2 linked regions of the Neodiprion lecontei genome follow. The protein of the gene in region 1 interacts with the protein of each later gene in a pairwise test. Links are inferred from orthologs where the notes say so. Each region holds a gene or a part of one and is shown on either strand. Other genes may lie near its edges. The genes, in order: calreticulin and ubiquitin-conjugating enzyme E2-17 kDa.

What was found.
Region 2: the proteins of calreticulin (region 1) and ubiquitin-conjugating enzyme E2-17 kDa interact in a two-hybrid assay, tested with the Caenorhabditis elegans proteins (2 studies listed by BioGRID). The link is inferred for Neodiprion lecontei from reciprocal best matches to the Caenorhabditis elegans genes crt-1 and ubc-1.

What each region holds. Positions count from the first base shown.
Region 1 is NC_060263.1:39,260,981-39,276,881, reverse strand, and holds calreticulin, read left to right. Parts: upstream 1-7,039; 5' UTR 7,040-7,121; coding exon 7,122-7,206; intron 7,207-8,176; coding exon 8,177-8,281; intron 8,282-8,883; coding exon 8,884-9,087; intron 9,088-9,382; coding exon 9,383-9,534; intron 9,535-9,966; coding exon 9,967-10,233; intron 10,234-10,331; coding exon 10,332-10,568; intron 10,569-10,780; coding exon 10,781-10,924; intron 10,925-11,164; coding exon 11,165-11,182; 3' UTR 11,183-11,894; downstream 11,895-15,901. Other genes in the region: uncharacterized protein LOC124294163, read right to left, coding at 832-897, 1,251-1,438, 2,856-3,630, 4,323-5,318; E3 ubiquitin-protein ligase TRIM23, read right to left, coding at 13,748-13,936, 14,062-14,430, 14,516-14,889, 14,999-15,107, 15,386-15,901. UniProt on the Caenorhabditis elegans protein: Molecular calcium-binding chaperone promoting folding, oligomeric assembly and quality control in the endoplasmic reticulum (ER) via the calreticulin/calnexin cycle.
Region 2 is NC_060263.1:34,343,393-34,359,864, forward strand, and holds ubiquitin-conjugating enzyme E2-17 kDa, read right to left. Parts: upstream 9,812-16,472; 5' UTR 9,192-9,811; coding exon 9,148-9,191; intron 8,067-9,147; coding exon 7,986-8,066; intron 7,522-7,985; coding exon 7,317-7,521; intron 6,229-7,316; coding exon of another isoform or gene 6,103-6,228; exon of another isoform or gene 5,675-6,102; intron 5,085-5,674; coding exon 4,929-5,084; 3' UTR 4,523-4,928; downstream 1-4,522. Other genes in the region: inhibitor of growth protein 1, read left to right, coding at 1,766-1,901, 2,241-2,444, 2,529-3,097; 2-oxoisovalerate dehydrogenase subunit alpha, mitochondrial, read left to right, coding at 11,852-12,088, 12,509-12,688, 12,782-12,977, 13,151-13,312, 13,417-13,561, 13,664-13,867, 14,021-14,284, 14,372-14,450. UniProt on the Caenorhabditis elegans protein: Catalyzes the covalent attachment of ubiquitin to other proteins.

The sequences.
Region 1 (15,901 bases):
CTCAACCGAGCTATTCGCCGCTATTCGCCGCTACTCGCCATTCGCAAGTCACCTGGTGCGGAGCGGCTTCTCGCGCTGTGAACTTAGGTTCACCAAAGTTCACGCAGACTTGGGTATTTTTTATTTCAATTTTTTCTTTTTCTTTTTATCTCAACCTTTTGCCATCGGCGTTTGTTTTTTTTATTTTTTCTTATTTTCTTCAATTTTCTTTAGTCATCTTGCTTTTCGACTCTTTTATTGCCAGATTGAATTGTTGTCGTTATCGGGATCACAGACAATTAACCAAGCACCGTGACGTAGACGTGACGCGTGGCGCGAAATGAAGAGTCGTGAAAAACACGGGCTGGTTTAACTTCGTCGACGCCTCGTACCATGAACCGGAAGAATTCTTCATCGAAAAGACGTTGTCAAGCTGCGTGATTAACGCAAACTTTGGTTTATGAGGAGTAATTAATTAACCTGTGAGATTTATTAAGAGAGGGATAAATTAGGAGAAGGTTGATTGTTGTTTATGCCGCCGGAAACTTTCGACCGATTTCATTGTTGGTATGTTGTTATGATTATTGTTATATCTATTATTTTATACGCGAAGTCTTGTACACCGTATTTAAACCATGTATGGTATGCTAAATAATTTAACTCCATATATCTGTATGGAAAACAATTATAGGTTGCGATTCAAAATACATACCTACATATATATATAACAAAGGTTCGAAGCCGTTGATAATTAAATGTTCTCCCTTTGCTTCTTCTTGCCTTAATTATGTCCAGATCCGAAGTTGAACGACAGTATATAATGTATGTACATACATCATAATTATTTAATGATCATGTCACGTGACATCGCCTCTCTCGAATAATAATATCACGGAAACGTTGCGTTTCACGAATCATCTGCAAAGTAGAAAACAGAATTTATTATTCACGTGTGCCGATTATCAATTTGAAGAAAAAAAGAGCAGTACAGTATGGTTAGATTCGATGCCGCGATATCGAGATATACGTACAGTAATGTTCATTAACGCCGTCACCTTTCGGCTAACTTGTTTGCGGTCCGAAACAAGATGCGAGTTCGTTTCTATACTAATTCCGTGACAATGACACCCAATCTCTCACATCGGCTGCATCGCCGGTCATTGTCACAAAATTCGTATAGAATCGAACTCGCATTTTGTTTCGGACCGAAAACAAGTTAGCCGTAAGATTAACGCATTAATGATTATTACTGTACGTGGATGTCTCCCCACCTTTTTCGTTTCTTTCAAAGTGACTGGGATGTACGTTGCGTTAATAGTCGATGCTAAATTGCTGTAGTCTCTGTAAAGGACGAACTGCTGTTTCAGCCAATGTCGTATTCCAAGGACACGTTCGTGAATCATTCGCAAATGTAAACGGCTCTCGCAGTCCAGGTTGGCGGTCTTGTCGTCTTCGAAATCTGGATCGAAAATACGAATCAAATGTTTGATTGAATATTTGTATTTTTATCTTCTCTTCGTTACTTAGTTTTCATTTACTTGTTTATTTATTTATTTTATCACCGAACCACGCCCTCTTTCCGACAGAAAGAAATCGTGATTTGTTAGCGAATGAAGGAAACTAAAGTTCAGTTTAGAAGTCGTAAAACAGTGAATAAAAATAGCCGGGAACCGGATTTTTGACTCGTTACGTATATATAATCTGTTACCGCACAATCCGAGCGAAGTCAATAATTATAACTGCATATCTAGGAAAGCAACCGTTTTTGGGAACTTGTTCAATCCTTGACAATTAGACAAAAAGAGGGATCGGATCGTTGACCTCATAAGAACGAGGAAAGTGGGAACCTATTCCCAAGAGCATGAATTAATAACCATAATATTTTAATGTTTGAGGATTATTTGATTTGAATAACTTCTGCACGTATTTTATATAAAAATGTTTCGTGAAACAGAGATTACAAATATTGCACGGAGCACACGATGAAAACAGTTTTTTTTTCCCTATGTTCTCAGAACTCTATATCTGTACACATCTTCGTGTATTTTATTCTCTTACGCGTTGCATACACATACCTATACGATGCACAAATTGCATGTCCAAATCGACTGAATAAACTTTCTTCGCGGCAGAGTATATGGACACATACCTATATTACTATACGCGCATGTATATATAAGTTCGTAAGAAAAATAAATAGGAATACGTAAACTGAGTGATTAGCGAATGAACGGTCGGTGCGTGGTTAATTTTAGTACTGGATTGCCAGAATCCGTTTCTCGTACAGCTCGTAGTTCATCCTATCGACGTAAGTATATATGATCGTGCTTATAGCTCGCAGGCGTTTTCAGAGCAAGAGGAAAAAAAGAAAAGTGATAAATGTTTAGTGAGAGTTCAACAAAACGTGGATCAGAATTTTTTTTTCAGAAAGAACAGAACCCGATAATACGATCTAAATCAGTTAATTCCCTGTACATATATATATATTTATACGTAACGAATTAGTACTCGAATAATAATTATCACACGACGATGCGGGTTCAGGTTTAATATCAGCATGAGCAAATTATACCTGACGTATACACAACAATTAAAAATAACTCGAAATTTCACGCCGACGAAAAGTTTTCCGAGGATTCGTTTTTGTTCGATTCAATATTTTGTTGTCGGTTGGTCGTATTTTTTTTTTTTTTTTTGTTAAATCTTTTTCTCTCCGACTTTTTTTTCTCGTTAAAAATACAACAAACGTCGCCAGGCCGAAGCCGAGGCCCTGGAGCAACATGCGATCAGAGGCGGCGAGGCTGCAGGCAGTAGCAGGTTCGGACCACGGCGAGGCTAACGGTAAACTATATACTCCAGTGGAGGCACCAGTTTACCGGGTCGTTTAAAGGCAGCGACGTTCGGGAGGTCGAGCGGCTTGAAGAAGGAGCGTAGACTCCGGTTTCGTCGCACTCCAGAAGACGACGAGGCTGCGTCGCAGTCCCCGAATCCGTCATCCTCGTCAATAATTTGCTGCAGGTATCTGCGTACGCGAGGTCTAAGCTGATCTCGTTCCTGTTCGAGAAGAAGCTCCTTTAACCGTCTTCTGAGCCTCTCCACGTCCCCAGCTACCCGTTTCGCATCTGTTTCTTCTTCTACGCCTGCGGACCGGCGATGGCGGAGCTTCCGGTTCTCTCTGGTTCGACTTTTGCCCGCCCGATGGCGCTCCTCCGTTTTGACTTTTTTCGACCGGTGCTTTTCAACGCCGGTCGCAAGCCGAACACCGCCTGCGGAAGCTTCTTCGGACGATGGAACCCGTTCAGGTTGCTGTACGGCCGCAGAAGCAGCGCTCTTCTCTTTTTCCCAATCCTTGGAGCGAGTCTGCAGATCGAGTTCTCCGACCAGTGAAACTGGAGTTTCGATCCTCGCCCGGTTTCTCACGCTCTTAGACTCCGCTTTTTCCAGAACCCTTTCGTGTCTCTGAAGCATCTCGGTGGGGTTGGTAGACTGCGGATTTTTACCTTCCATGAGGAAAACTATACGACGATTTTCCGCCAACGTTTCATCCTGTTTAGTAATAATTTCTACGTCTTTTCTGCTCCCGGTTTCAGGATCTTCTTTCGACGAAAGTCCGGAGGAATCCCTGGAAGAAACTGCAGGCCTTCGTTTCACCTGGTGAAAAAAATTTCTGTTATCCTCTAAAAAGTTTTTCGTTGAACATTTTGCTTTTTTACGATCTTGCCTTGTACAGCAATCTTTCAGATGGCCGTAATTTATCGAAGAATATCTCAAAATTCTTACTGTAACTATATGCACTGCGTTGTTCTTTCTTGAGTCTTTACATTCCTTGTAGGTACGTATTCATAATCTTATAGAGAGAATCATTTCTATAAGAATTGATATGTGTCTGCGAAATTCTTAAATGAAAAAAAAAAAAAACAATTCCCGTCTCCATTTCCAGTTCTTAAATTTCTTCTACACGAATTGTAAAAACTCACAGTTTTCTACAATTATCTACGTGAAACTAAAGCTGTTTTCTATTCAATGATAGATTGTCGTATAGATTCTTAAAATTCTTTAAGAATTCACTGAATTTTATGTTTAGTCGATTTACTATACTTTTGTCTTAAAAAATTGTGGACCGTCATAATTTTTCGTAGAAGATCGTTACACTCTTCTACGAAATTTCATGGAGTTTTACAAAGTATCCGAAAATTTTTCCATTCTGTTTTAGATAATTGTAGATGAATGTAAGATCAAACGTAATACTTGATCGTTTTCTGCGAAAAATCTACAAGGAAAAAAAAAAGAAAGAAAACACGATATTCGTTACAAATTATCAACATCGCGGAAATAATTTTTACCCGGTTCATCCGGCGAATCTCATCGCTGCGATCAGTCGAAGGCTGCGAAGACCTGAGAAGACAAACGGGGCTTGCGGTGTTTCCGTTCGTCGATGCTTTTACATAATTGCTGAGGCCAGGATCCAAACCGGCGTCGCATTTGCTCAGGACGCGAATCACCTTCGGCGCTACGAGTTGGGTGAGCTTTTTAGTTTCCAACTGCATCGATGTAGGCGATGACCGTTGCGGCCGATAAGAGCCCGAAGGCGAATATGAGTCTTCCGGTTCTTGCGCCTGCAGATCCTCCTCCACGATACTGAGAGTCTCAGCAGAGGGCGTACTTCTAACAAAGTCGTCAGAATAGCCGGCGGATGCCATCAAGGTCGGTGAATCGGCGTCCAAGGTGCTGGCTCGCCTTTCTTCCCCATCAATTATCGACTCGACGCTTTTCATAGTTATTTCTTCGCCGAGAGAAGGGACGTCTGGGTGGTCAGAGACCGGACGTGAAAATGGCGCGATCGACCGAACGACTTCCGGGACTTCTTCGCTAACCGAGGTTTCCGTTTCCGTCGTCAACTTGCCCGCGGCTTCTCGCTCGGATTCGACCTGCAGGGACGGAGTTTCGGATCGTTTTCTTGCCTCCTGGTTTTCGGCTCCACCGGCCGCCGGACCGTCTCTTTGATAATTCGCCGATTCTTGGCGCGGGCTCTTTTTCCCCGACTTACAGTCGAAAATCGTCACCAACTCGGCCGTAGGTTCCGAGGCTTCCTGCCCTCGACGTCCTTCGCTTCGCTCCAAGTAAGCTTCGGGCATTCTCACGTCTAATTTAGGCCTCACAATCGCATCGCCGGAACCAGATTCACCCGCGGGTTTCGATAATTCGTCCGCGCTGTCGACTGCGCTTATATCGCTCAAGCTGGATTGCCGTTTCACGCGATCCTCGCTGCACTTCATTTTGTACTTTCTGTCGATTTCCTTGAGTTTCATCAAGGCTGCCGTGGCCTTCGATCGCATCATTTTACTTATATTTATATTACGCTTTTTATACACTGCAATGAACTTTTCAATTTTGCCTAATTTTTAACTGTCAAACGATCCTCGTTCTAATACACCTTCTGCCTCTGGAATCGACGCGGCACTACCGTCGCCATGATGTATACAAATTCGTTGCCATAGTTACGGAATTAAGAAAATATGACGAGCGACCCCCCCCCCCCGGCGGCGGTTTGGCAGGGTCACGTGCCACTTATAGCGGTTTGAGTTAATTTGACACAAATGATTTTATCTAGCTAAGCGATTGTTAATCCTAGAAGTTTCCAGCTTCGTGGAAGATAGTATAATATTTTCAACACCACCTGGAAGTTTAATTGCCTAACTTAATAGGTTGCACTGCAATGTGCAGTTATACTTATAATAATCGAATTTTACGATTCATGTACGTATTCTCGAAAATTCCAAAGTCCAAATGTGACGGGTAGGTTCTCCCGAAAACATTTCCCTTTCTCGAAACTCATCGAGATACTGCAAGGTCCTCCTATTTCGGATAATCGACTCAGGCAATAACGCGTGTTGCATGTATCGTTCGATATAAAACTTTGAACTGCAGACGGTAGAATCGTGTTTTGATCTTAATGCATTGAATATATTGAGACACGCGTCTACGCGCGAGAAGTTGTTACCTTAATTTTCGAGAAACATTATATATATACATATACATATACGTACTTTCTTACAAAAACAATTTCCTTATTTTTTCTTAAAAATTCTTTACGCGACCTCGCCAATCACATCACATATTATCACCGTCCTACAATAGCTCGTAACTGGGTAGGTATAATATATATCCTATTGAGATATTTCGAAAATTTGCACATAATTGCAGCGATTATATCACTATCATTTGCCGAGCTATAGGTAATATACTATACCGAGCTCGAGGTAAAGTACGTAGGCATACGTAAGCGGATAACGTGGCAAGAGTTTATTACGTCGTGTGCATGGATGAAAATTCTAAAATATACTAGTCGCGTGAGCTATGCATTAAACGTATTATCGCTATTCTATTTTCAGAAACTTCGTGCAACGATTAAAAACGTTTACCTATAAAACCTGGGAAAAATTATGTTCACATATTTAAAAAAAAAAATTGATTATTCTTCAATAAACATATTTTTCTGAAATATATGATTCTGAAAATCTCTTCGAGAATCCAAAAGTTTATATTTATTTCAATGAATAACCACTTTTTATGTAATGTTTCGCCTATACTTTCATTTTTACACCATATTACATTCATGTATACTTATAGGTATGCCTACAAAAAGTTTGCAGAAACGAAAGGTACGATGTTCAATTGTTTGCAGAACAGCGTGCTTGCATATCATCAGTAAGAAAGTGAAAATGTTTTCCTGCATCTCAGTTATTTTGTTGATAAATTCTCTTGTACCGTGCAACCTGACAAATTTTCAGAATCTTTCCACCTGCCGTTGATTAAAATCATTCTCGTTTGAATAAAATTCCGACGTGAGTAGCCGGATGCGCCGCGCCGGTTGATAACTCTGCATTATCGACGCGACGTGGTGTTTTCTATCTGTTTACCTTTGGATAGTTGATTCGTCATCTACGTAGCGGCGCCTCATAGGTCGGCGAGCGTGGTCGGAGGTGATTGGTCGAAAATAGGGAACGAATGAGCGTTTTCCATCTGTCTGGCCCGACGGCTGCTCGGTGTCTCTGTTCGCCACCACGTCTGGCATTATTGGCTTGTTCCTTGTGCGAATAGGACGATTTGACGCGGGTTATTTCGCGATCCCGGCGCCCGAGATGCGGTCTTTTTACGCGTTCTTCGCCTTGTTGGCGATATCGGCTGTATGTGCTGAGGTCTACTTCGAAGAAAAGTTCCTCGACAGTGAGTACAAGACCATTTTCAACCCCCTGATAATACCATCTTTCGTATCAGTCCTTTTACATTTCTTCTCCCTTTTACTTTTCGTCACCCTCGATCTCTTGACAATGCGTCAACTGCTGCTCCTGCTGCCACTCTGTGACGACGTATTTCTCGACGTTCACTCTCCCGGGCTTTCGATGTCAATTTATAAACCACACCCTTTAAATATTACCATCTCTTCATGTGCGTCGGAAGCCGAGTAGGCAAATTCCGTTCACTCGGCAGCTTGATAAATGCGGTTACAAATTTCCCCGCAACGAATACCTACTTAAATAAATTTGCTACTATAGCATCATCATTATTATTATTAATGTTATCATGATCATTCGGTGCAACGTAGCTACTTCCCGGCGAAAGCTTGTATCTCAAATATAATCAATTAATCACGGTCAAGAGGATCGATATCGTTCGACATCGGAGTTTCATTGGCACTTATACGTTAGAGATTATCGGATAAGACAAAATTTTCGGCACCGGCATACGTGCTGGCATTAGTGGTATTGTTATTATTATTATTTGTAAATAAAATACAAACGAAAATGCCAACCGGCACGGCAGGGACGAACGAACGTAGAGGTGGCCACTCTCCCTACTCGGATTATCGAGCGCTGCCATCTGTGACAGTATCGCCGTAGGTATGAGACTATGCTATCATGTAGCACGCTCAATGCTTCCTTCTGCTAATTGAACTTCTAGACTCTGTAAAAGAGACCCGCCAAGTATCGTCGTTGAGGAAAAAATTAATCGTTGAAAGCGAAGTGCGAACGTGATTTCTGTTAACGTTATCCTCAAATATTTACGTGTTTAGTTCTACAACTTGGATATTTCATTCGATTTCGCGTTTACTCTTGACTTTAATTAAAGTTTTCGTTCGTCTATTAATGGCGGTGAAAATTATAGCTAACCTAATATTCCTGTCTTTTCATGGCAGACGCATGGGAAAAGGAATGGGTATATTCTGAACATCCCGGTAAGGAATTTGGAAAGTTTGTACTTAGCCATGGAAAGTTCTGGAATGATCCCGAGAATGACAAAGGTTCGTATCTATAACTGTTTTCGTATTTATCTATAATTTGCTTTGCCAATGTAACATAAAACTAATTGATCTGTTTGAATTGATATTTAAATTTTTTATATCAAGTAATTGATTTCTGCCACACAAAAGTTAATTAAAATTCTTGAACTTTGAAATCTTCAAATATTTTTTAATTGTCTACTTAGTTTTAGATTAATATCAATGCATATAATTATGTTTAATCTTAATCGTAATCATTGTAAAAATTGAAGTATAAATGACTCACGTTGAATTAAAATGAAAGAAACTTTCTTTTTTATTAAATTAATGTATTTCATGTTCTGCAAAAGATAAAATTCTACAGCCATTATCATCTTTCAGAAATGTCATTAAAGAAGGCAGAACAAATAACTGTAATAAGAAAACATTTTGATAACATAAAGATAAATTCAGTTTGTTTACTTTCACTTCATTCAAAACTTTATTATTGCATAAACAATGTCTTCTATGTATTGAGAATTATATTTTCAAGTGTAATATTTATAAGAAAGCAAAAGAATGAAAATGTAAACTTTATTTTAATACTTTGATAAACTTTATATTATATATAATTATTTCTTCAGGTATCCAGACGTCCCAGGATGCAAGATTTTATGCACTCAGTAGGAAATTCACCCCGTTCAGTAACAAGGATAAACCACTGGTTGTTCAGTTCTCCGTTAAGCATGAACAGAACATCGACTGTGGAGGAGGATATGCCAAAGTGTTCGACTGCTCGTTAGACCAGAAGGATATGCATGGAGAAACGCCATATCTTCTCATGTTCGGTTAGTACGATTAAAACCAATTTGCTAAATTTGCAATTTCTTCACTTTCCACATAATAAAGGAACAGCCGACTTGTTTACTTTTTATTTTTATATGAAGTATAAATTTAACTCCCCCAATACCAGTGCACTCCTTTTGGAATTGATCCAACATTGTTAGGTTGACTATCTGCGTCTGTTTACATGATAATTGAAACGGAATTTCCAAATAGTTTTGGCATTAGATCAATAAATAAAGAAATGGAACATATTTGTTGTTTGTTTAGCAAAATGCATAAATTTCTTTCTGTGAACAGGACCCGATATCTGCGGACCTGGCACCAAGAAGGTTCACGTTATATTCAACTACAAAGGAAAGAACCTACTCATCAGCAAAGACGTTCGCTGCAAAGATGATGTCTACACTCATCTTTACACATTGATTGTCAAGCCAGACAATACTTACGAGGTAAAAAATGCCAGACTTTTTTTACACTGGTCTTGAAAAGCGATTAGATTGCTACATTTTGTCAAATATCAACGAGCAGAAGTATACTCCCAGAAGTCATTCACTGACCATGGATTTAAAAACAAAATTTTAAATCGAGCCTAGAGTCACTCGTCAAGTCTCACCCTTGTGGAGGATGAGTGCTATAGGAACTCGAAGAGCATAACGCGTCTTACTTATGCCCTGGAATAAGTTACTATGCCTATCTCAGGTACCAAGTGAAGACACAGATCACTATAATACGAGAGATCAAGTCGTAAAAATGCTGAGATGATGATTCTGATTGTTTTGCCAAATCATACGTCACTTGGACATTAATGTGCTGTCATTTTTGTTAAAAGTGGACGAATTTTACATTTTTACTAACATCTTTAATAATTTTCTTTGCTTCAGGTCCTTATTGACAACGAAAAGGTTGAATCCGGCGACTTGGAAGCTGACTGGGAGTTCTTGCCTGCGAAAAAAATCAAGGATCCGAACACCAGCAAGCCTGATGATTGGGATGATAAGCCCACCATCCCTGATCCCGATGACACAAAACCCGAGGACTGGGACAAGCCAGAACACATTCCTGACCCCGAAGCCACGAAACCAGACGACTGGGACGACGAGATGGATGGTGAATGGGAAGCACCCATGATTGATAATCCTGACTACAAGGTAAGAAGCTTCAATAGTGAGGGTGCACAAATTATGAAATATCATTCGCCAAAAACCATCGTAAAAGTAATGATACTTTCATTTTTCAATTATCGTAGGGAGAATGGAAACCCAAGCAAATTGACAACCCTAACTACAAGGGACCCTGGATTCATCCCGAGATTGATAACCCTGAATATCAACCAGACCCTGAGCTCTACAAACGTGATGAGATCTGTGCCATTGGTTTTGATCTCTGGCAAGTCAAGGCCGGTACGATCTTTGACAACGTTCTGATCACCGACGATCCTGAATTAGCGCACAAAATCGGGGAAGAAGTTTGGAAACCTACTTTCGTGAGTGAAATTTTTTTGTCACATTATTAAAAGTGGTGCAACGTTGTTGAACTGTAATTTAAATTAACGCAAAATGATGATAAAAGCAGGTCTGATTATAATGAGCGATAAAAAGCTGGAATTCCTCGTTACTGACAAATACTCTATCAAGCAGTTGACTTTTGGCAGTACTTTGAGAGTGCAAATCTTAATTTAGAACTTTATTAATTCAGGAAGGAGAAAAGAAGATGAAGGAAGCTCAGGATGAAGAAGAGAAGAAAGAGAGAGAAAAGGAACTCAAGGAAAGTGAAGACAAAGAGGAAGACGATGAAGAAGACGAAGATGAGGATAACACCATCCCTGATCCAGAAGAAGCAGTAAGTATTCACAAAACCTTCACTTCCTCAAGAAAAATTATTAGCAAATCTCTAATCTCAAAATGATGAAAAGACGATTTCCGATTATTATGAGCGATAAAAGCCGGAATTCCTCGTTGCTGAAGCTTTATCTGTTGATTAATTTCTTTTTACTACCATATAAAGCTTAAGTTCTCATCGCGTGCTGAACAACGTGCTACATGTCGGATATAACAAAATGGAATTGCTTCTTTTTTGCAGGAACACGACGAATTGTAAATAGTGTGTCAGGTGGCACAAACACAGACTGTATTCCAGGAGCTGCTGCCTAATTGTGCGACGCTATCAACTATTGCAAGAGTGTGAAAAAAGAAAGAGACAGTTGGAATGAAATATTACAAAATGTTATACACTAGATGCTTTCAAACACTAAATAGTGTGTAAATCATACGTGCGGGCAAGATAACGTTGATAAAATTTTAAAAACGTTACTCATCTGCGCAATTTCGTAACAGTCGGTTGCGAAACCGAGAAAACTGGTTGCTATTATTGAAAGGATAACAAGTTTCTCTAATTGTCGTAATAATTACTTCAAGTGATTGAAGAATCTCCAAAAATCGTCGGAAAAAAAAATTATTTAAATCGCGACAATTTTTATTCTTGCCCCCGTGTCCACATCATCATCATCAGCTCCAAAAGACTAAGTTGTTCCGTTTTTGTTTGTCAAGTGTTTTTATATATTATATTGTATTAAAGTAATTTTGAAATTTACTTTGGATGATACAAGAATTATTATTATTATTTCATTCTCCTTACAAGTACAGTGGGTACGCGTTGCAATAATGCGCTGCGACTTCTAATAGTGGTTATGAATTGAAAAAAAAAGCAAAAAGTGATGGGTGTGTGCAAATCGTGAGTGAGTGATAACAATAGCTAATAATTGTATCAAACCACCAATAACCATATAATAAATAAATAAGACTTTTCTAGACTTTACTTTGTTTATTGACACTCGCCAATTTCCAATTTCCCATCATTGTTTCTCTACCGTTTGCATGGGAAAATGATAAACATGGAACGAAAAGAAGACTAAATACGTTTGTAAACTTTTACTTGTTAGAGATTGAGGAAAATTTATTTACCCAATATTTGCACGACGTCACCAGAGAATAGACGATTGGTTTTTAAAAGCGTTAATTATCGTAATTTATTTGGTGACATATATAAATATACACTAATGTACATACATACGTAGTAGTCCTGAAATGGAAGCTGCACATTGCTTTACCGGAGCTAAGAAAATTAAATAGATTGTGCACCAAGGAGACTTACACCAAGCGTAAGTTGGTAATGAGTCGTAGGCGAGTGCATGCGCAAGCCGAAGACGATATGGCAAATATATGAGGCGAAAAAAACTATCTCAAGGTGCACATGATACTTTATGTAACAAAATTGTTGATTACAAATTTTTTTCGTATAATGGAGTACCAAGAAAAAGCACTTTTCAGTACTAGGACACAAAGATGCACTCCAATGCTCTTTTTCTTGTACTTTCGCAAAAATAATTACTTTATGTACAACTTTGGAAAATATCGAGCATTTTTAATTTTGTACTAATTTCATAGACATCTCTTCGGCATTTTTCTACACATCAAAGACTGAAGGTGATAAGCCATTATTATAATTGAAATATTCTATCACAATATTTGCAGCATGATTGCATCTTCAGATTTAAAACTACAAAGTTGAGCCAATTTAACATTGTCCTGACTTTCATCATTTCTCAAGAAAAAGTCGTTTCAACCGCAGTTTCATCTGCATTAAACAATTGCTTCAATCCGTAATCTTCTTCCGGAATTGTTCTCCAGATTTTTTCTACCTGCAATGCTAGGAGAAACGTGAGCTGATTAATTTTCGCTACAAATAATTACGATTAAAATCTTTTTTAATTCCCATGTGTTGATGAAGTTCTAATGCTTCAACTGAAAATATACATTTTCATGAACTTGTGTTTTGCCATCTAATTTCGTACAATTTTACAGTGTCTATCCACTGCACATAGCACATCGCCGAATTCGCTGTATTTTAAAAAACCATTTTTTCGAATTGTTTTGACTCAAGAAAAAATATCTTTAAAATAATAATTTAAAAAGAATAACCCATGGTTACTTCTATTGAAGCGTGACGCTTTTACTGCTTTTACCGAACCACAACCCACGATCACGTTCGACTACGTATTCGGCTTACATGAAGTTTTTGACAATTTTTATAATTTATAATTAGCCTTATTAGAAAAAATTATGCACGACAGTTTTGCGGTATAAAATAAAATTAATTCATAAGTGCAGAATATGAGTGTTTCATATTACTTTTTATCAGAGGTCCGTTCAATGGAAGACCGGATTTGTATGTTCTATAAAACCAAATATACAATGCCTCTTGTAAGTTATCTAAAAGAGATATCCTGATGCGTTTATTTTTCTGCCTCTGATTTAGGGTGATTCATGTGTCCAATCTCAAGTTCACTCTATCACTTCATATTTTTTTCCCCCACTTCTTTTACTATAGCTCCGGTATGAATGTCCTTTAAGATGTCTATTTTAGCTAAAATGATAAGGCTATTGCATTTCTTTTCATTACCGTCACATTTGACACTATTCTCTGTTATGATAATTTAATACTTCAAACACAGAGTCGATTCTGGCCATGCTTCCGTTCAAGTGGCGCGGAGTACCGAAAAAATTTTGACAGCTTTCGGTATTGAATTAATGAATATAACGTGTGGCGATACAAACCGTGCCTACTGTAAATCAGAAAACTAGATTCACCTAGTATTTTTTATGTTTAGGTACTGTTAGTGTACAGGGCCTCGTTTGCACCCAATTGCTGTGTCAGCCAGTCTAATCCCTGAATGAGACCAGTGGAGTCAGTCAGAGGCGAAGATCCCTCTATATGCCAGGCTCTACCACAGCAAAATTTTTGTAACGAAAGGATTTCCGTCAGCTCTTCGACTGTCGCACAACCTGGTACATCCTGAATTAAAAACAGATTATTTTCTTTTTATTTCAACAATAATCAATTTCACCTATCATCAATTTCCTAAATTGGACTGATTATTCATTTCATTCAACATGTAAAGTCATAAAGTCATGTTGTACCTGCTTGTTGGCGTATATAAGTAACAAGGCATCTTTCAGTTCGGGTTCGCTAACAATTTTTGTCAGTTCTTTATGCGCCTCTTTGAATCGTAACCTATCGCTAGCATCGACAACAAAAACGACAGCCTGAGTATTATGGTAGTAATGCTTCCACAGTGGCCTCAATTTATGTTGTCCACCAACATCCCACAATGCAAACACCAGGTTTTTATACTCCAGACTCTCTACGTTGAATCCAATGGTAGGAATCGGCGGACTGCACAAAGCCATGTCCCTCATGGCAAATAAAATGCTAGTTTTTCCAGCCCCATCTAGGCCAAGTATCACGACTCGCATTTCTATCTTTGTTCCAATATAAACTCTGTTGTCCTAAATGAACGAAATTTGTAAAAATAACGCGACTCTTTCTCTAAATTTCCCATTACCGATCATGAGAGAATTAAGCTTTACGAACCCTGCTAAATATTATGGGAATAGAGGATTCGGGCGTGAGCAGGTCTGGGCCAAGCTGAGCGTAATGTTTCTGCTGCTGTTCCAATGACGTCAGAACTTGGCTGACATCTCTGGCGCTGCTGAGCAGTTTCCAATCTTCAGAACCCAACAGACTCTCCCACTGAATGCAAACTTCGGCAACTTGGGTCCTAGTCATATTCAGATTTTCGTGTAATTCTCTAAGCGTGCAAAGTCTTTCCCTTGTTTCAGCATCAACGCACATTGCAGCTGCTTTTTCCTGTTTTGCTAGCAGTGACCTCAGCTTTTCAAAGTGCTGACGTACTCGTTGCCGAGCATCTTCTATTGCCCAGCCTTCTAGTTCCTGTATTACAATTTCTAGAAGTATTCGATAAAATGTTAACAAATTGTCTGCAATCAGTAATTGTAATACTGATAATTAAATGTTAACTGCTGCATCAAACAGAGCCAAAATTATCTTCATTACCTATCCTATGAGCTGTATCCCTCATGTTTTCCGTAAATAGAGTCATTTTTTGCATTGCTGTGATGATTGAAACTCGGATATTCTCAGCTTCTGTCTCTACCAATGTATGCTGCAATTCAATAAACAAATCTAATGAATAAATCGAATAATCAAAGTCCTGAACAGTGTTCTTGAAGTTTACAGCCAAACATTAAATCCGGGAAACATATGAACCTTTTATTAGACTTTTCTTAACAATAAAGTTGAAGCTAGCAGCCAGAGTTAGCAGCTAAACGTGTTAAACTTTTTGGAAACAGGAAAATATGTTTAATTCCACTTTCCAATATTCATTTAGATTGACGGGTGCAACAAATGAAACTCTTTTGTTTGAAAAACTATAAGCTTCACCTTGTGAGTACTGTGCCTCCCATAGTCCCTGCAAAGGTAGCACATAAGAGCACTGTTGCATCCATCCTGTGTGCATGTGAATTCAGCGATATGCGTGCTATGAGTGGGACACTTTGGTTTTTCCTTTGGTTTTTCAGACAAAGGAATGCGCCTGTGTCTGGCGAGAGTTTTTGACGAGTGAGTGAGAACATCGCAGGCGTCGCAAAGGTGAGTCATGCATACTGTGCAGTACAGAACAGCAACATGTTTCTCATCTTCGTCGCACGGCTGAGTAGACTGTAGCCTTTCCCGTTCGAGTTTCATGTTTTTCTCAATATTTGACTCTTCTAGCCTTTCCAAGAGTTCGATGAGCACAAAGTTCTTCTTTAGACTATACACTCCATTCTTCTTGATGGCTGTGGGCTGCCGGTCGAAGGGACATAAAAGGAACTTTTGATCCGACACACAGGGACGAAGACGCAGTAAACAAGAGTGACACACAGTGTGACCGCAGTGAAGTAGACGTGGTACTTTCCC
Region 2 (16,472 bases), about 4.9 Mb from region 1:
TTCATGGAGATTAAAATTATGTATGCATACAAATACGCACACGCATACATACAAACATACATGTATTTTCTTCGCCATAAGGAACACAAGGCGTAAAGTATTCGATGACGAATGCTAATCGTAAATCGTGCCAAGTTCGCTACTCATGGGCAAGAATGTAGCAGGAGAGGTCGACAGGCTCGTTGTCGGAAGTTATTAGAAACACGAGATCGGTTACAAACAAAGAGCTGTCACAACGTTGACTCATCGGTTCGACACGATGATTAACGACGACAGTTGTGTCGCGGTCCGGGACAAATAGGAGGAGGTTTAGGTAAAGATTCGAATGGATTCGCGGAGGAATAGATGCGGATGCGAATCTGTGACAATGATAAAATTTATACCCCCCCATGGGGTCCTCAAACCTGTAGGGTTTCGAGTATTGAACCGAGAGACACACGTTGCTGTATGGGGCAAATTTCGGAATTTCATGAATAGCGTGACAGTTGTACTCACTTGCTGGAGTTGCGGGTGCCGTCTTTCAGACCTTGGAAGGTTCCGGTGGACGTCATTGCTGTTTATCGTGAGATTAGGAAAGAGCGAAGATCCTGCTTTACACACGACTGGGCGAACCACGGCTTTTACTCGGCGAACGAAATCAAATACCACTCGGCAATGCTATTGGTCCGTTAAGGAAATAGCACCAACGCGATGTTACTACTCGCGTCAAGTAAGCGACACAATAATAACGCGGCAACGACCGGAATATTCGCTACGTCAAACGGAAGTTGGTCGCTTCACGAAATTCCTGCAAACTAACGCTTGCGGATGCTAGTCGTAATTTCAACCGCACGTTACGAGGGACGGAGTAGTTTCGACAACTTCCGCTAGGGGCTCTGCTTCTGAGTTCTATCGCCACTTCGAATTGAGACTTCGAAATACTTGAATCGGCATTTGCCTTTTTAAAGGTAGCCAACAGCAAGACGAAGAAGTTCATACGTGAAGTTGACCGAAGGCTGTTAAAGACGGTTACCCTAATGGGGGTGTGTCTTATGGGATTGCATGTTAAACCATAACAGTGTGTCAAGCGGTTCCCGTCGATAAAGAAAATACCAATAGGGTCTCTTACTGTCTCAAAGCCATTTACCTGCCGAGTACTGATCCGACTTCCAATTCTTCTCCGTCAACTCTGTGGCCTCTGTGGTTATGAATATTTTGCGAATTCATTGTTATATCCCGACAATATTTCGAGTCCAAGAAACGCTTAGGCTCAATCTCAAAAGTTTTTTTCTGTACCACTGAAAAATCGCACTCCAAAACTTGATCTAATAACTGGAAAATAATCGTTTCAAATACACCTACACATCGCGCAGCGTAGTATTTACAATCAAATTTTTGAACAAAAGTTTTAGCATTTTTTCACAGTAATGCGTTCCGAACTAGGTCGATACTAATTCTGAGAAACAACGAGAACCTTTCTTACGTAAATTGAACGTAATTTGAGTAAGAATATCGATGCTGCTGCAGATTGCTTTTGAACAGACGTCTTCGTATTTTAACTATTACAATTCAACATGGCGGATCGAACATTTATAATTTGACCATGGAGTATGTGCATTATGAAAACAGCGAGTATCGCTTCTACAAAATTCGTAATTCTACGAGTGTAAAATGAATTACAAAACTTACAACAATTAAATCCAAGTATAACACATATTGGTGGTGAAGTACACGTGAAACTGTAGCGTATTTCGATGGTTTTTTATTTGCTTGAATTCGGGTGAAAATGTTAAACCAGGCAGTCATCGAGGCTTTGTACTCCGCAACTTACATCGAAAATTACTTGGACTGCGTTGAAAATCTTCCAAATGATCTTCAAAGACACGTCTCTCGATTACGGGAGCTGGACGCTACCTGTCAAAGTAATTAATTCATCGTCACTTTACAATAAAACAACCCTTAATGAAATAAAAAACTGCTACTTTCCGCTGTTTCAGCTATATTTCACTTTTTTCTGTTTCATATTTAAGGTTATACTGTAACTCTCTTTTGTTCTAAACCGCTGCGTAAACGTCGCCAGTATCTCCACAAAAAAAAAAGCAAGCAAATATATGTTCCCAAATACGTTGATTTTAATTTCATTAATATCGAAATTGGAGGTCAGGCTAATTGACAGATTTTGTATTCATCCAATTGAGTTCAGACATTCGCCAGAGTGGATGTGTAACCACAACTGACCAAAAATTTTGAATATATTTTAGGCTATTTGAGAGACGTTGATCAACAGCAAGATATACTGCGAAGCGACGTTGATATGTCAACCTGGAGGCGAGCGTTGCTAAAAGTTCAACAAGCCCTAATAGCGGCGCAAGAAATTGGGGATGAAAAATTGCAGATAGTACAACAGGTTCAAGATCACATTGAGAATAAGTCACGTCAATTGGATTTGGACTACCGCAATTTAGGTATATTGCGATATATCCTATTAATCTACCAAAAATTAGCACCCTTTACCTTGTGTCTAAAACATAATTTCTGGTTTATCACAGACTTTGGCAAGGAACAAGAAGCTGCAGAACCAGCACGAGATTCTAATGCAAACGTCAACGCGGCAACAACTGGAACCGCCAACACTTCTGAGAGGCAAACAAAGCGGACTAGAAGGCCTAGAAATGATACTTTGGTTGAATCTGCGCATGCTATGGACATAGTTGTCGCAACAGAGACTCGTTCAGCTACCTTGGCTGCCGCGAATACAGGATCGCAGAAAAAGGCAGCTGCTGCTACTACGGGAAAGAAGAAGAAGAGGAGGCGCCAGGTTACTCAACAAAGTCAACATCGGGAAGATACTCCGCCACCGCCTGAAGATGCCATAGATCCTGACGAGCCAACATATTGCCTTTGCGATCAGATCTCATACGGAGAAATGATCCTCTGCGACAATGATCTGTGTCCTATAGAGTGGTTCCACTTTTCATGCGTCTCTCTAAGCACGAAACCTAAGGGAAAATGGTTTTGTCCAAAATGTAGGGGAGACCGACCAAACGTTATGAAACCTAAGGCTCAGTTTCTCAAAGAACTTGAAAGGTACAATAAAGAGAAGGAGGAAAAATCATAGCATTAAAAATAGTGATGGGAATAAAATGGTAAACCCATTATTTGATTGATTCGTCATTGTTTGTCCAATGATTCCGTTTTATTTATTACAGAATGATTTAGATATTCTTTGAGACTTACAATGCATGTTTAAAAAATCTATTGCTGGAATTATATTGACCTCAAGTTTTTTTCATCGGAATGTTATCAACCGATGTTCAGTTTCCTTCAGAATAATTGACTATTCAGTTCACACAACATGAAAATCTTTCAAACACCAATTTTACTATTTTCAACCATAATACACAGTTAATGTTTAGTGTTATATTTAAATGTGTTGAAGTTAATTTTATGATTTTAGCATGATACACATCTAAGGTGTTGAGCTCATCATTGGTCTTCTCGTGTTAAAAGTATTATTACCTTATTTCACAGGAATTGAGTCAAACCCCAATTTTGTTGATCAGTTTCCGAGCATTTTTATTTATTCTCTTGCAGATTGGAATTAAGTTGAACTATGTAAATAAATCGTAATGAAAATTTATTCAGCAGAAAAGTATTTCTTTAAACTACAATACGATGTTTAATATTGTGAATGAGCGTATGGTGACCAGCAAGAATAATGTATGATATGGAATATCCAATAAAATGTTCCACTTTCTCGTTATGTTTATCAGCTAAAAATAACTACAGCAGTCACGAAATAAATCTGTCATCATATCGCAAAATTTTCTTTACTTCCAGCTTGAATAAAATATATAGATTTTGTTCATCCTTTATCGTAATTTATAACATGAATGAATTCTGCGTTTAAATGGATGAATTTTCCTTGTTACATATAAGAGACGCGTGGTGCTACATTACATCAATAAAAGGAGCATTAGATTTTTAAATAGATAATTAATGAATTATCTTTCTATTCAACAGTGACTTGATAATATTTACTACACATCACTCGATGCTAAGATGATATAGATATACAAATATGTATATAATTTTTATACAATCGGTATTTGAGAAATATACAAATCAATTTAAGTACGTTCAGAACGTTAAAGGCTAGCCTTGGCCGTGCAGCGATAATTCATTAAATGAAATACCTAATACGAATAATAACTTTCGAAACAAGTGCACAAGCAAATTTACCAATTTAATCATTTGCATAATCGGGTCAATGTCGAGATATAAGCAATAACGTATTATTTAGTTACGTCTAGTCGTTTGTTCCAGAGTATTATTTGACCCTAATTGAGAATTGCATCTGAAATGCATCCCGAGTTGCGTATTAAATTGATAAGTGTTTTTGTAACATTTGTTAATAAAGCCTGAATCAGCAGCTATACCAGTGTTCCATTATTAATCCCTACAATACGTTCAAAATCGAAACATTCTGTTCTTAATACCGTATTGTACTATATTGCGTGGGTCTGTGTAAAAATGCAGAAAGCAATTTGAATAATCATTTTATTTGCTTAAAATACACGGAACAAGGTGTAATGGTTGTAAAAGTATTGCACAAAATTGTAGACATTGAAAAAACATTTATAGCTTTCCAGCTCAATTAAATTCTGGCTGAATGGATACCGGTGAATAAAGAGATTAAATATATTCCCTATCAGTAGACAAAGGTAAAATTTTTTTGACAAGGTTGAACTATCTAAATATAATTCCACAATAACCATTTAATCAAAAAGTATCTTGTCATTTGAGCTGCCCTCATAGACCAATAAGATGTCATTGAAGCAGCTCAGTTTACAGATTACAGTGACAATCACAAAGTAAATTTATCATGAAATTATATACGTGTATACCTGAATGTAAGCCATCTATACTTAATAATGCGTTACCTAATGTCAGCGGGGATCTTCTGTGTGACTTTCTTGAAAGTTGAGCCAAGACTGTTCAACAACTGTGGCCACCCGTTTCTCATATTCCCGTTTATTTTCTTGATACAACTGTGCAGCTAGTGAATTTGCCGGAGAGTTAGGATTTGGTTCGTCCAAGAGAGACTGAAACACAGACAGTCTCAATGTCGTTCAAGAATGTTTGATGAAGAAAAAGAAAATGTGAACAAGTTGAATGGATAAAAATGCCCCGGTAATTTCAGATACACCAGCTATTACAAGCCAATCGCTGAACCACTTATCCCGTGTCCTTGCGATAAATGAAAGAGAGTTGATGCTACTCATAAGACGCGCCATTATCGGGTCGTAATTTATACAAAAATTAGAAAAGAATGTATAACATTCTACCTATTGATGCAATGAAGTTAGTCAGTTAGGTTAATAATATTTCCTGATAAATCTATTTATTACCTTAATAATATAAAAAATATTCATTTACATTTTACGATGGATCTAATATTATGTTATCTAGTTTTACTTGGTTTGCTGTTTACTAAAGGGGAGAAAGAGAGGGAGAGAGAAAACTTTTTAATAGCTGGTACTTTCTAATGTCTATGATTATATGAGAAACGAAAGAACAACAGTTTGAGATTCTGTGGAAAGCATTAACTATTGCTAAATGTGAAATTCGACCTGTACGCCGTGCATTGTTATTGAGTATATCATATTGGGTAAAAGTAATAAAATTGATTATATAATTTGAAATTATGCATTTTATTATACGTATGTATATATAGATGAATTTCGGTAATATATGAAGTACTAAAATTAAATAGAAGTACAACTCTGTGCCTGGTTTAGAGTGAAGAATCGTTTCTAGCACAGATACAACAAAACAATGCAATTCCCTAATATTAAATATTTCTAATTTTGTGTTCCAAATATTGAATAAATAAATACACAATTTAATAATAATTTATTATACAACATTGTAAAAATTCGCTCTAATGTTGCACATTGCATTTGTTGTAAGGAAGTTGTATATTCTTTTTCTTGTTGCAGGGTGTGACGTGCTAAGTCCTAGGTGTTAGCTTGATGGTAAGGCCCTCAGTGGCTGTAAATTCTTCCTCCGTCTTTGAAGACCATCGGCTGATTGATACATCGATAGTGACAACAGTTGCCACTAATCCACAAAACTCTGCTCCACGCAAGCCTTAACTCGTTTCTCATACTCACGTCGGTTTTCTTTGTAAAGTTGTGCTGCCATGGAGTTAGCAGGAGAGTTCGGATTTGGATCACTTAACAGCGACTGCAATAACATAAGTCGTACTTCTTAAATATCTATTTCGATCTCTTCGGACCTCATTATCATTCTGTCGAATAGAAGATCTACACCTATCACGTAATGATTTATAGGATTCCTGATGAACAGGCCAGATAGTACACATCAATTTCTGTGCTACTTCGTTCTTTTCCAACAACACTCTTTAGAGGAAAAATATTCTCAGTATCAAAGACCACACAAGCATAAAAGCAAAGGTGAAAGTCAATTCATAACAAATTCCTTGTCCTTTCTTCCTTACTTTGCAAGGTAGCTTTCACATAAAAATTAACCTGAAAAGGGTTGTTGAAATTAATGTGTGCTTTGGAAACTGTTTATCAAAAAATCTATTAATCACTAGTATTATTATTCCAGTACAACAGTAATACGACAGACATTGGGAAGGATTCGTTAATAAACTTCGTGCAAATTTAACTCACATTCTTCAAATTATATGTTAGCTCACTATTCTATGCATAAAGATTTTATACATTTCAACAACACGTTAATCAGACTTTTGAATTGCAACCGCTGTTAAGCACAAAAAAAATTTTCTTAGCGCAAATTCAGCGGTTAAGATTTATAGCGCAAGTTTGGTGAGAAGGTCAATGCGGACGGGTAAAAAAAAAAAAACTACCCAAAGTTTCGTGGTTGTAAATTTATACATTTCTACCTTATTAATAATGCACTACTCCGAACCTTGATATACATATCAAAGTATTGGTTTGGATTTTGTTAATGCTGCATCATAAGGATTTAAAATAATCCTTCAGTCATAGCGAGAAATTATTCTCGAAACACTGAATCTGTTAAGTCGAAATATAAACGAGCAAGTAGAAATAACTTTTGAATAGCTATTGATTTGAGTAGAATCAACTTTCAAAAATTAGGTAATTCCCATTCCAAAACATCCACAGCGTGGTATGTTTGTGTTCATAAAGGGTAATATTAATTAGACATAGGAGATATAAAATACCATGGTTAAAAGGTAGATGCAATAGGAGTTTCAGAATGGAATCACGCTATTTCAAACACAAGCAAGGCAGGGCTGAGCATTCATGTATTATCAGACATACCTGTATTGATGTCAGAATGGCAGATACGTCGTATGTTGGGCTCCAGCGATTTTGTAATATATCAAGACAGATTCCTCCATCGGCGTATACATTTGGGTGGAACATCTTACTGACAAATCTCACAGTCGGTGGTTTATTTGGATACTCCTCAGTAAACTCTATGGTTAGTTTAAACGTCCCATCTTCAAATGGAGTGTCATGTGGTCTGCAATTTGAGATAGTGATGAAAATACTTCAAAGATTCATTATATTTTTCTGTAATCAAATAGCTAAATGTTGAACTAACTATACTGACTCTATTAACAACTGTAATTTGGCTGGCATTTGACCTTGAAGCAACAATATACGTAGTGATTCATCCAAACTGATGAATAACTATACAGATGCTGGTCAGGTAATGCCATTCACAAGCTCAATAATAACAATCATATTATTATTTCTAAAATGGTATTATTTGATTGGTTGTTCGCTATCTTAAAAGATGAATTTGTAACGATCAATCATAGAAAATAAGAGTTAATAAATATTTGCTAAAATTGAATCAGCTGGAAATAATAAGTTATAAATATTTATGACTCATCGTAATCACAAAGAGGATAATTTTCTTACTGATCGATCTGTACATTATTATCATTTTCTTTCGTATTATTCTGCCTTACGAACACTTACCCAAAAATAACTGCATTCCAAATCATGATATTATTATCTGTTGGTGCGCCAGATACTCCAGTTGGTGGGTCTTCTTGTAACCTGCAAATAAAGCATAAGATTTGTCAAGCTTTTCGATAATTAACAAATAATCAAATCCTTATTCCATCTTTTACCGGTATTCTAACAGTTTTCACTTCAGACATTTGGTTCAATACCGAAGTAATTCTATTTGAATAAAAAACTAAATGTTTAATCATTATTCAATCGAAACAGTTTTTCTTGAAAGTAGCAAAATAAAGTTTAATACTCTCTACATAAAATTAGTTTACGCGTTAATGAAACATGACTGCCCAATGTGTACCATATTCAGTCATGGTCAAGTCGAGTCTGCATACAAATGTCGTCGGTTCAGCAACGAATCACGTTGATTAGCAATTTGAGGATAAACCAATGCTTGATGAACATTGAACAACGAACCACCTGAGGCTTTACAGTTTAGTTGTGCACCTGACGAGTTACTTAATTGAAAAATAACTTAGTCTAAGGGCAGGCGGTAGTTGACTCATCGCGACTAGCTGATAGCTGTTACTCATCGTGTTCCTTATACTACTTTGAGCAAGTCACAAGCATATTTAGGCGTGCAAAATTGCACGTTGCCAAATTAATGAGTAGATATATTTAATTTTCATTGAATTGCGAAAGAGAACAAAGAAGAGATCAGCCATAGGTTTCAACATCGACTATGGATAAGTGGAGGACATTGTGACAATGTGATTTGTCTGACCTAGAACGTCTAACATGTATGACATAAAGCATGGCGATAAAATTGCAATTTGAACATAAACCTGATGTAAAAGTGAACGATTTTCATCAGGAATAGGCGAATGGTTGGAGTAAACAAATAGTATAAAAAGGACGAGAGAGTTGTTTTAAGTGCACGAAAATACAACGTGTATCCTCTGCACCGTTCTCACGGCCTTCTAATAATAATTTCAGAGCACAAGTCACGGTGACGTTCACAGCGGGTAAAACGTCGGTTGTGTTGGTGAATTGGTGAGCATGTGACCATCGTAACGAAACGCTTTTTAACGGGTTAAAACTCTATCGAAGGGGATGACGGGGAGAAGTAAGGTTGAACCGATTATCACGATGCGACCGAGGGAGTTATTGGATTACGTACCTTTTGAAGTCCCTCATGAGTCTCCTTCTGGCAGGGGTGGACATCCCTTACGAATGGGCTGGTCACTTCTCCTCACGAGTAATGTGCTACGACGGGTTCGAGCCACCCAGCGAATCTTTAGCGCTCCTTGGCACACTACGCACGCGGCAGGTTTCTCCGAGAGGAATAATTCGAGAAACAAGGAAAAAGATACGCGCACAAACACCACAGCCGTAGAAGAGCACAATGGGTTTAAGAAAAAAAAGGAGGGAAATAAGATTTCAAAAAAAAAAAAAAAAACCACGCAACGCGCTACGGTCCTTGACGTGCCGTTATTAACGCGGAAACGAGGACGAGGAGCATCCGTTGTCTTCCTTCTGCTGCGTATATCTCGTTCCCCCTGGACTAAAAGCTGCTATCTCTCGATGTAATACCGTTATATTATGTTACAAGAATTGTATCACATTTACTTCTCGAAACTTCTTTTAACTCAACACTGCTTACCCTACCGATAATTGTCTAATTTTACCCGACGCACCAGACCAACACTTGCCTACATGAAAAAGCCCATGTCACAGACAAATTGAGGAAATTCACTTCCTACACTACCAGAACGGAGAACAGTGTGACACACGGAACAGCGGCTGCTGCTGAGCTATTCGGATCTGACGACTGACGTCAGGAATTTAAATCAACCGTGGCGATTAATCGCTTTTACGAACCCAGACTTTCATCCCACACTCCGCGGCGATAAAAACCAGTCCAGAGACGCGTCGCGTCGCCGCGAAATTCGTTCGTCCTGCCACCTCTAGGTGAATTTAAGTTCAAGCTCCTGGTACCACTAAACCACGCAACATATCATACGTGGCGTATGCGCGGTTGCCTTTAGTAAGGCAAATTGTACTCTGTCTTGCTTTTCTTATCGTTAGTTTCCATTACGTTATTTGAAGAAATTTTTTTTCCCACGAGTTTGATACCAGACGAATAAACAGTCGGATTGGCTTTATGGAATATCATTGACCCTGGAAAGAACTTGTTGGAGTGTAGAATCAGAAATTTGTAACTGGTACCACTGCATTACTGAACATTGTTGAACATATAATTTTGAAAAACTGGTAAATTCGAAAAATTAACGACGGAGCCAGGAATCGAACCTGGTATCTAGCGATGCTTTACCGGAGCCTTACTCCACTAGACCACCTAGCCGCCCTGACTCTGATGTCGTTAATTCCTCTCATCACCAGTAAGTTCAAATTTGTTTTCTTGTGCTGTAGTATGTGTGAATATATAAAGTGTTCTTCCTCTTCGAGCACAACTGTAAGAATGTCTGTAAGTGTGTTTACATTTTGGAAACTTACGCTTCTAATGCGAAGCCCGTAAGACAGTCAATGACCGTCTAATAATTGAAATGCGGATATGCATTATCAATATTAATATTAATCACGAGGCATTTTTCATTGTTGAACATATAATTTTGAAAAACTGGTAAATTCGAAAAATTAACGACGGAGCCAGAAATCGAACTTGGTATCTAGCGATGCTTTACCGGAGCCTTACTCCACTAGACCACCTAGCCGCCCTGACTCTGATGTCGTTAATTCCTCTCATCACCAGTAAGTTCAAATTTGTTTTCTTGTGCTGTAGTATGTGTGAATATATAAAGTGTTCTTCCTCTTCGAGCACAACTGTAAGAATGTCTGTAAGTGTGTTTACATTTTGGAAACTTACGCTTCTAATGCGAAGCCCGTAAGACAGTCAATGACCGTCTAATAATTGAAATGCTCGTTGTGCTCGAAGAGGAAGAACACTTTATATATTCACACATACTACAGCACGAGAAAACAAATTTGAACTTACTGGTGATGAGAGGAATTAACGACATCAGAGTCAGGGCGACTAGGTGGTCTAGTGGAGTAAGGCTCCGGTAAAGCATCGCTAGATACCAGGTTCGATTCCTGGCTCCGTCGTTAATTTTTCGAATTTACCAGTTTTTCAAAATTATATGTTCAACAACGAAAAATGCCTCGTGATTAATATTAATATTGATAATGCATATCCGCATTTCAATTATTAGACGGTCATTGACTGTCTTACGGGCTTCGCATTAGAAGCGTAAGTTTCCAAAATGTAAACACACTTACAGACATTCTTACAGTTGTGCTCGAAGAGGAAGAACACTTTATATATTACTGAACATTCATATTTTTTTGATTCTTTTTCCTAAATATAAATAATACACAACGTTGGTTGAAAAATATTTGCTTCGAATACAATAGAAAATTTGGTATATTTGCTCAGCCTGAATCGTTATAAATATGTATGCGTATTTATATTTACCAGGTTGAGCAAGTGGTACTCTTATCAGCATCCATAATGATAAGGATATTTTTGAAATACACCGTTTCCCAAGTTTTCGATAACTCAGTATCCATGCATGCAATTAAATCACAATCATAACCAAACTGATATGATGAGTCGACAGATTTTCACATGAAGAAATGTTATTTGGTCGGATGCTCGTCATTTTAATTACTTCGAGGAATACGATTTCAAATTTCGAATATTGTTCTGAAAAATTGTTGTGATGATCGATAATAGGTTTAACAATATATATTCAACATTATAATTTTTACAATAAATTAATGTAGTGTACATAAGTATACGCCAAAACGATCCGGCGTGTCTTATCAGTTAAAGTGTTGGTAGTAACCGGCATGATAAGTGTATGGTTACACAACAATGCTTACAATTCGTTCATTATTCATCGAGTTCAACGTGTGTCGTAGTTCTCGCGTCGAGTTGGTCGCACGAAATTCATACACCTCTCCACTGCTTTTCTTTGTACCTTCAACTTTATCATTCTTTCACTCAACTCCGTTTAAGCAATTGGAATTGTCTACATTTGGTCATGAGAGTCACGTGGGCTAAAAAAATCTTCAATCAATTTTCAGCACAATGTCTTGTGAGTTTCTTTTTTCATTTCTATCTTATATCAATGACGCTTGTGATCTATTGCCTGTCAGTAAGCGAACGATCACTAAATGTTCGTAACGATAAGCTAATCTGTGCATGACGTGGATATTATATTTTTAATAGTGGCAACTTGTAACATATCATAATGTCCTACCAAAGTAAACATCTCTTGCGTCAATGATAGCTGTCGTGTCGTTGCGATTGCCATACGCATATTAGAGACCTGATATTCTTGAAAGATTGGCGGAAAAGAGGATAATATGTCATAGAATCAAAGACTATTGATTAGAAATTTCAAGAATTCGAAATTCATCAGTTTGTTTCCTATTTCTGAGATTAATATTCTCATGTATGTTCATTTTATAAACGAGTACGTAATACTTACTTTTTCTTTTGATTTTTTTTACAGATTCACAAAGGTAACTTCACCACTTCAGCAACATTTGGACCCAGTAATCCCAAGTTTCCAATTATTTCTAACAATTTCACGGATGAGCTCAAATTTACCAATGCGACTTCATATGGCTCTATTCCAATATATCGAATATTGGGCTCTGCCACTGAGGATGAAGCAATGGCGAATATCGAGGTTTGTTAAAATTCGAATCACCAGTACGAACCCATGTATTTACGATTCAATGTTTGTTGATATTCATATTTTGAATTTTGAATTTGCCAAAAGCTGGAAGAGGCGAAATATATAAAAATGTACAAGGACATGGTAACAATTACTGTAATGGATAAAATACTTTATGAATCTCAACGGCAAGGCCGAATATCGTTCTACATGACTAATTCTGGCGAAGAGACTGTTCAAATTGGAACTGCAGCAGCTTTAAGTCTAAACGATGTTGTTTACGCACAATATCGGGAGGCTGGTGAGTTTAGATTATTTCTTCGTATCGTATCGCGTCCCTCTCACGACTTCAGCAAACTCAAGAAGTTAAATATCGTTGGTCCTAATCGTCAGAGCTGAAATTTACAATCAGGAAATTTGACAGAAATGCTAAGATAGACTTATAAATAATTACTAACATTTTTTATATTCCAGGTGTACTGCTCTGGCGGGGTTTTAAATTAAAACAATTCATGAACCAGTGCTACGGAAACTGTGAGGATATTGGAAAAGGAAAACAGATGCCAGTTCACTACGGATCTAAAGAATTGAACTTCGTTACTATATCATCGCCACTAACGACTCAATTACCGCAGGGTAAAGTAAACGCCATTTCTGTATTATTTTCAATATAAAGTAATTTAGATACGAAATCCATCCACATTTTGTAACTAATTACATGTTTTTTTATATTCCGTCAGCCGTTGGAGCAGCGTACGCATTGAAACTGGCACATTCGGACCGTTGCGTTGCCGTTTATTTCGGAGAAGGTGCAGCTAGTGAAGGAGACGCGCACGCCGCTTTCAATTTCGCAGCTACTCTCGATTGTCCCGTTATATTTATATGGTAAGTGGATGCAGAATTTGGAAAACTACTAGTTTGAACACTTCATCGCCAACAATACATCTACTAAACATGCGAATGGAATTTAAGGATTTAATTTTTTAGTCGGAACAATGGATATGCAATTTCCACTCCAGCTCGTGAGCAGTACAAGGGAGATGGTATCGCGGCCAAAGGACCTGCGTACGGTATTAACACAATTAGAGTCGATGGAAACGATATATTTGCAGTACACAACGCTACGCGTGCAGCGAAAGAGTGGACTTTGGCAAACGGAAAGCCTGTGCTAATCGAAGCAATGTCATATCGGTATAAAACAATCATTACTTCGTAATATTGTTCACTGATGTTTGTTGTTTGTAATTGGTAGTTGTTATAATCACTTAATTGTGACGTTTAGTACGATTGTACGCTCTGATAAAATTACGGTAGCTAATGAGTAATCATTTTTCATGCGTTTAGAATTGGTCATCACAGTACCTCTGATGACAGTTCTGCGTATCGATCAGTGAGCGAGATTGCCGAATGGGAAAAACTGCAACCGATCGCAAGATTTCGCCAGTGCCTAGAAAAATATGGATTGTGGTCTGAGGAGCAGGAAAAAGAATTCGTATCGTCGATCAAAAAGCAGATACTATCGGATTTTGCAGCGGCCGAAAAGAACGTAAAACCCAACTGGAAGGAGGTGTTCACTGACGTGTACTACAACATGCCAGATCATATTAAGTACGTTTACTTTGTACGATCAATGCGAGATAACTGAACGTGTGAAACAATCGGGAGCTAATGGAGTAAACGTTTGATTTATTTTAGGAAACAATCGGAAGCGATGGCAAAGCACGTCGACCAGTACAAAGAACATTATCCAGTAGAACTTTACAAGCAACAGTGAATCAGGTTTAAAATAATTCCAATCCCGAAAACAAATATCGATCTTTACTTACGTACCTTCATTTTTGGGAATCTGAAAACTTTTTCTGTACCTTTGAAAATATATATATAATTTAATCAACAATTCTTCGAGTTTTATTTTGTAAATATCCCGCACGCGTTAAAACTTTAACCGACCGCAGAGAACAAATATGTATAAAGAATACGTATGAATATATTAAGTTTCAAAAAGTATATCGGTAAAAATTGCTGTTTTTATTCGCTAAATCAAAAGTAAATGCAACACTCGGCATGCTTCTCCGATGACGCGCCCGAAACTTGTGTCGCTGCATGAAAATTTAGCCTAACGTTCGTGAAGTTAGGTTCAAGAATTTAGGAATACATAAACATGCCAAGACCCTGGGTTATTTTTCGTAACGGTTTGCCGGGTCTGGCCGGGTTTGGGGGTATTAGCAGTTTCACGTATTATCAACCAAGTAATTGATCATGCCGGTAAAAGAAGTTCTTCATAACCAACAATTATCGCGTGCAAAACGTTGGTAACATATCGTCGTCATCGCAAAATTGAAAAGTTGAGAAAATCTCGTGCAAGAAATACGTACGCCGAAATTATACAACGGATAAATAAATGTCAATCAAATAGGTATGTCGGAGACGTGTTTTTGTTTGCAAAACTATGCGAGAAGTCTGCGAAACATCAGAAACGTACAATCTAAATATTACTGATCAAACCTCGACTCAAATTGATGCAGTTTAAACTGTTGAAAAATATCGAAAAACTTAACTTCCAGGAGTTTAGATGTGCATATACATGATTTTGCAAATGGGTGAAGCAGGGTAAAAAACTACAGCCTAAACTTTGCAGAGAAATTAAAAACATTTAATTCAGTTAACAGTAACATTCGTCAAATATCAGAATCAACTTTCTACGAATAACAATTTTACACTCAACGGTAATTGATATCAATTTAAACTAGTATTGCCAGTTCATTCTAATTCTTTATTCCGACTGTCCATTCCCTGCGTAAAGGATTAGTGATTAGTGACGTGTGATTACGCGTAAACGATGAAGTCGTCTGGTTCAAGGTTCAGTTCATTACTTATTTTAACACATTAGTTTAACAATAAGTAATTTCTGGAGCAAGGCTCCGATTTGTTAGGGGGTGTTCCGTGTTATTCTCCAACTACGGCAAAAGTCTGCAAAATAAACAATAAATTGAAAAATACGATGTACAACCTATTACTGGTGAGATGCTAACGTCAGAATATTGTCTCAGAAAAGACCAATCGATTGTTGGAAGCAGAACACTTTTGAAGCTTCCGAACGGTCTTACAACTTTTCCGCTATGTGTTTTTCACAGAAATATCGTAATTTAAAGAGTGCACGTCTCCAAACTTCTTGGTACGACCTTTGACGCATTCATTCGAGCGATAAACAGTTCAGCATGAAACCATCCGTATATAATTGATAAGGATTTGATTACAAATAATCCGGAAAATCCATCTTCAGGTGGTATCAGTCGTTATAGTTTCTCATATCCAATTTAGAATTGTAATTAATTGACATCGTTTTTCAAAAAAGTTTTATTAGTGGAACGTAGGATTGAGCTGCATTAAATAACGTTCAATTGTTATTAATTTACTTTATATCGGCGAAACCTTATTCGGATATTATTTATCAATGTCACTTTTTGTCTATGTAAATTTGGGTTGCATGTTCCAAAAATTGGATTCATACTGTAAGTTCTGTCTTTCGGACTTTCAACATTTAATTAACTAGTAATTTTCTACCGAGTTGATCAATGCATCATTTTCATTCGCGTTTAATCATAATAATTTATAAATTTTACCTCCTCAACACTACAACACTCGGTAAACTTTCAACTTTCGTCCTGAACGACACAATTGCAAGTCATATTGTTATTACTATATGGAGAATCTTCTTGTAAAAAAAATTCCAGTACTGACAGGTAATTTGTGGACAATTCGTACACTTTGACAATATTTCCTGGTGAAAATAGTA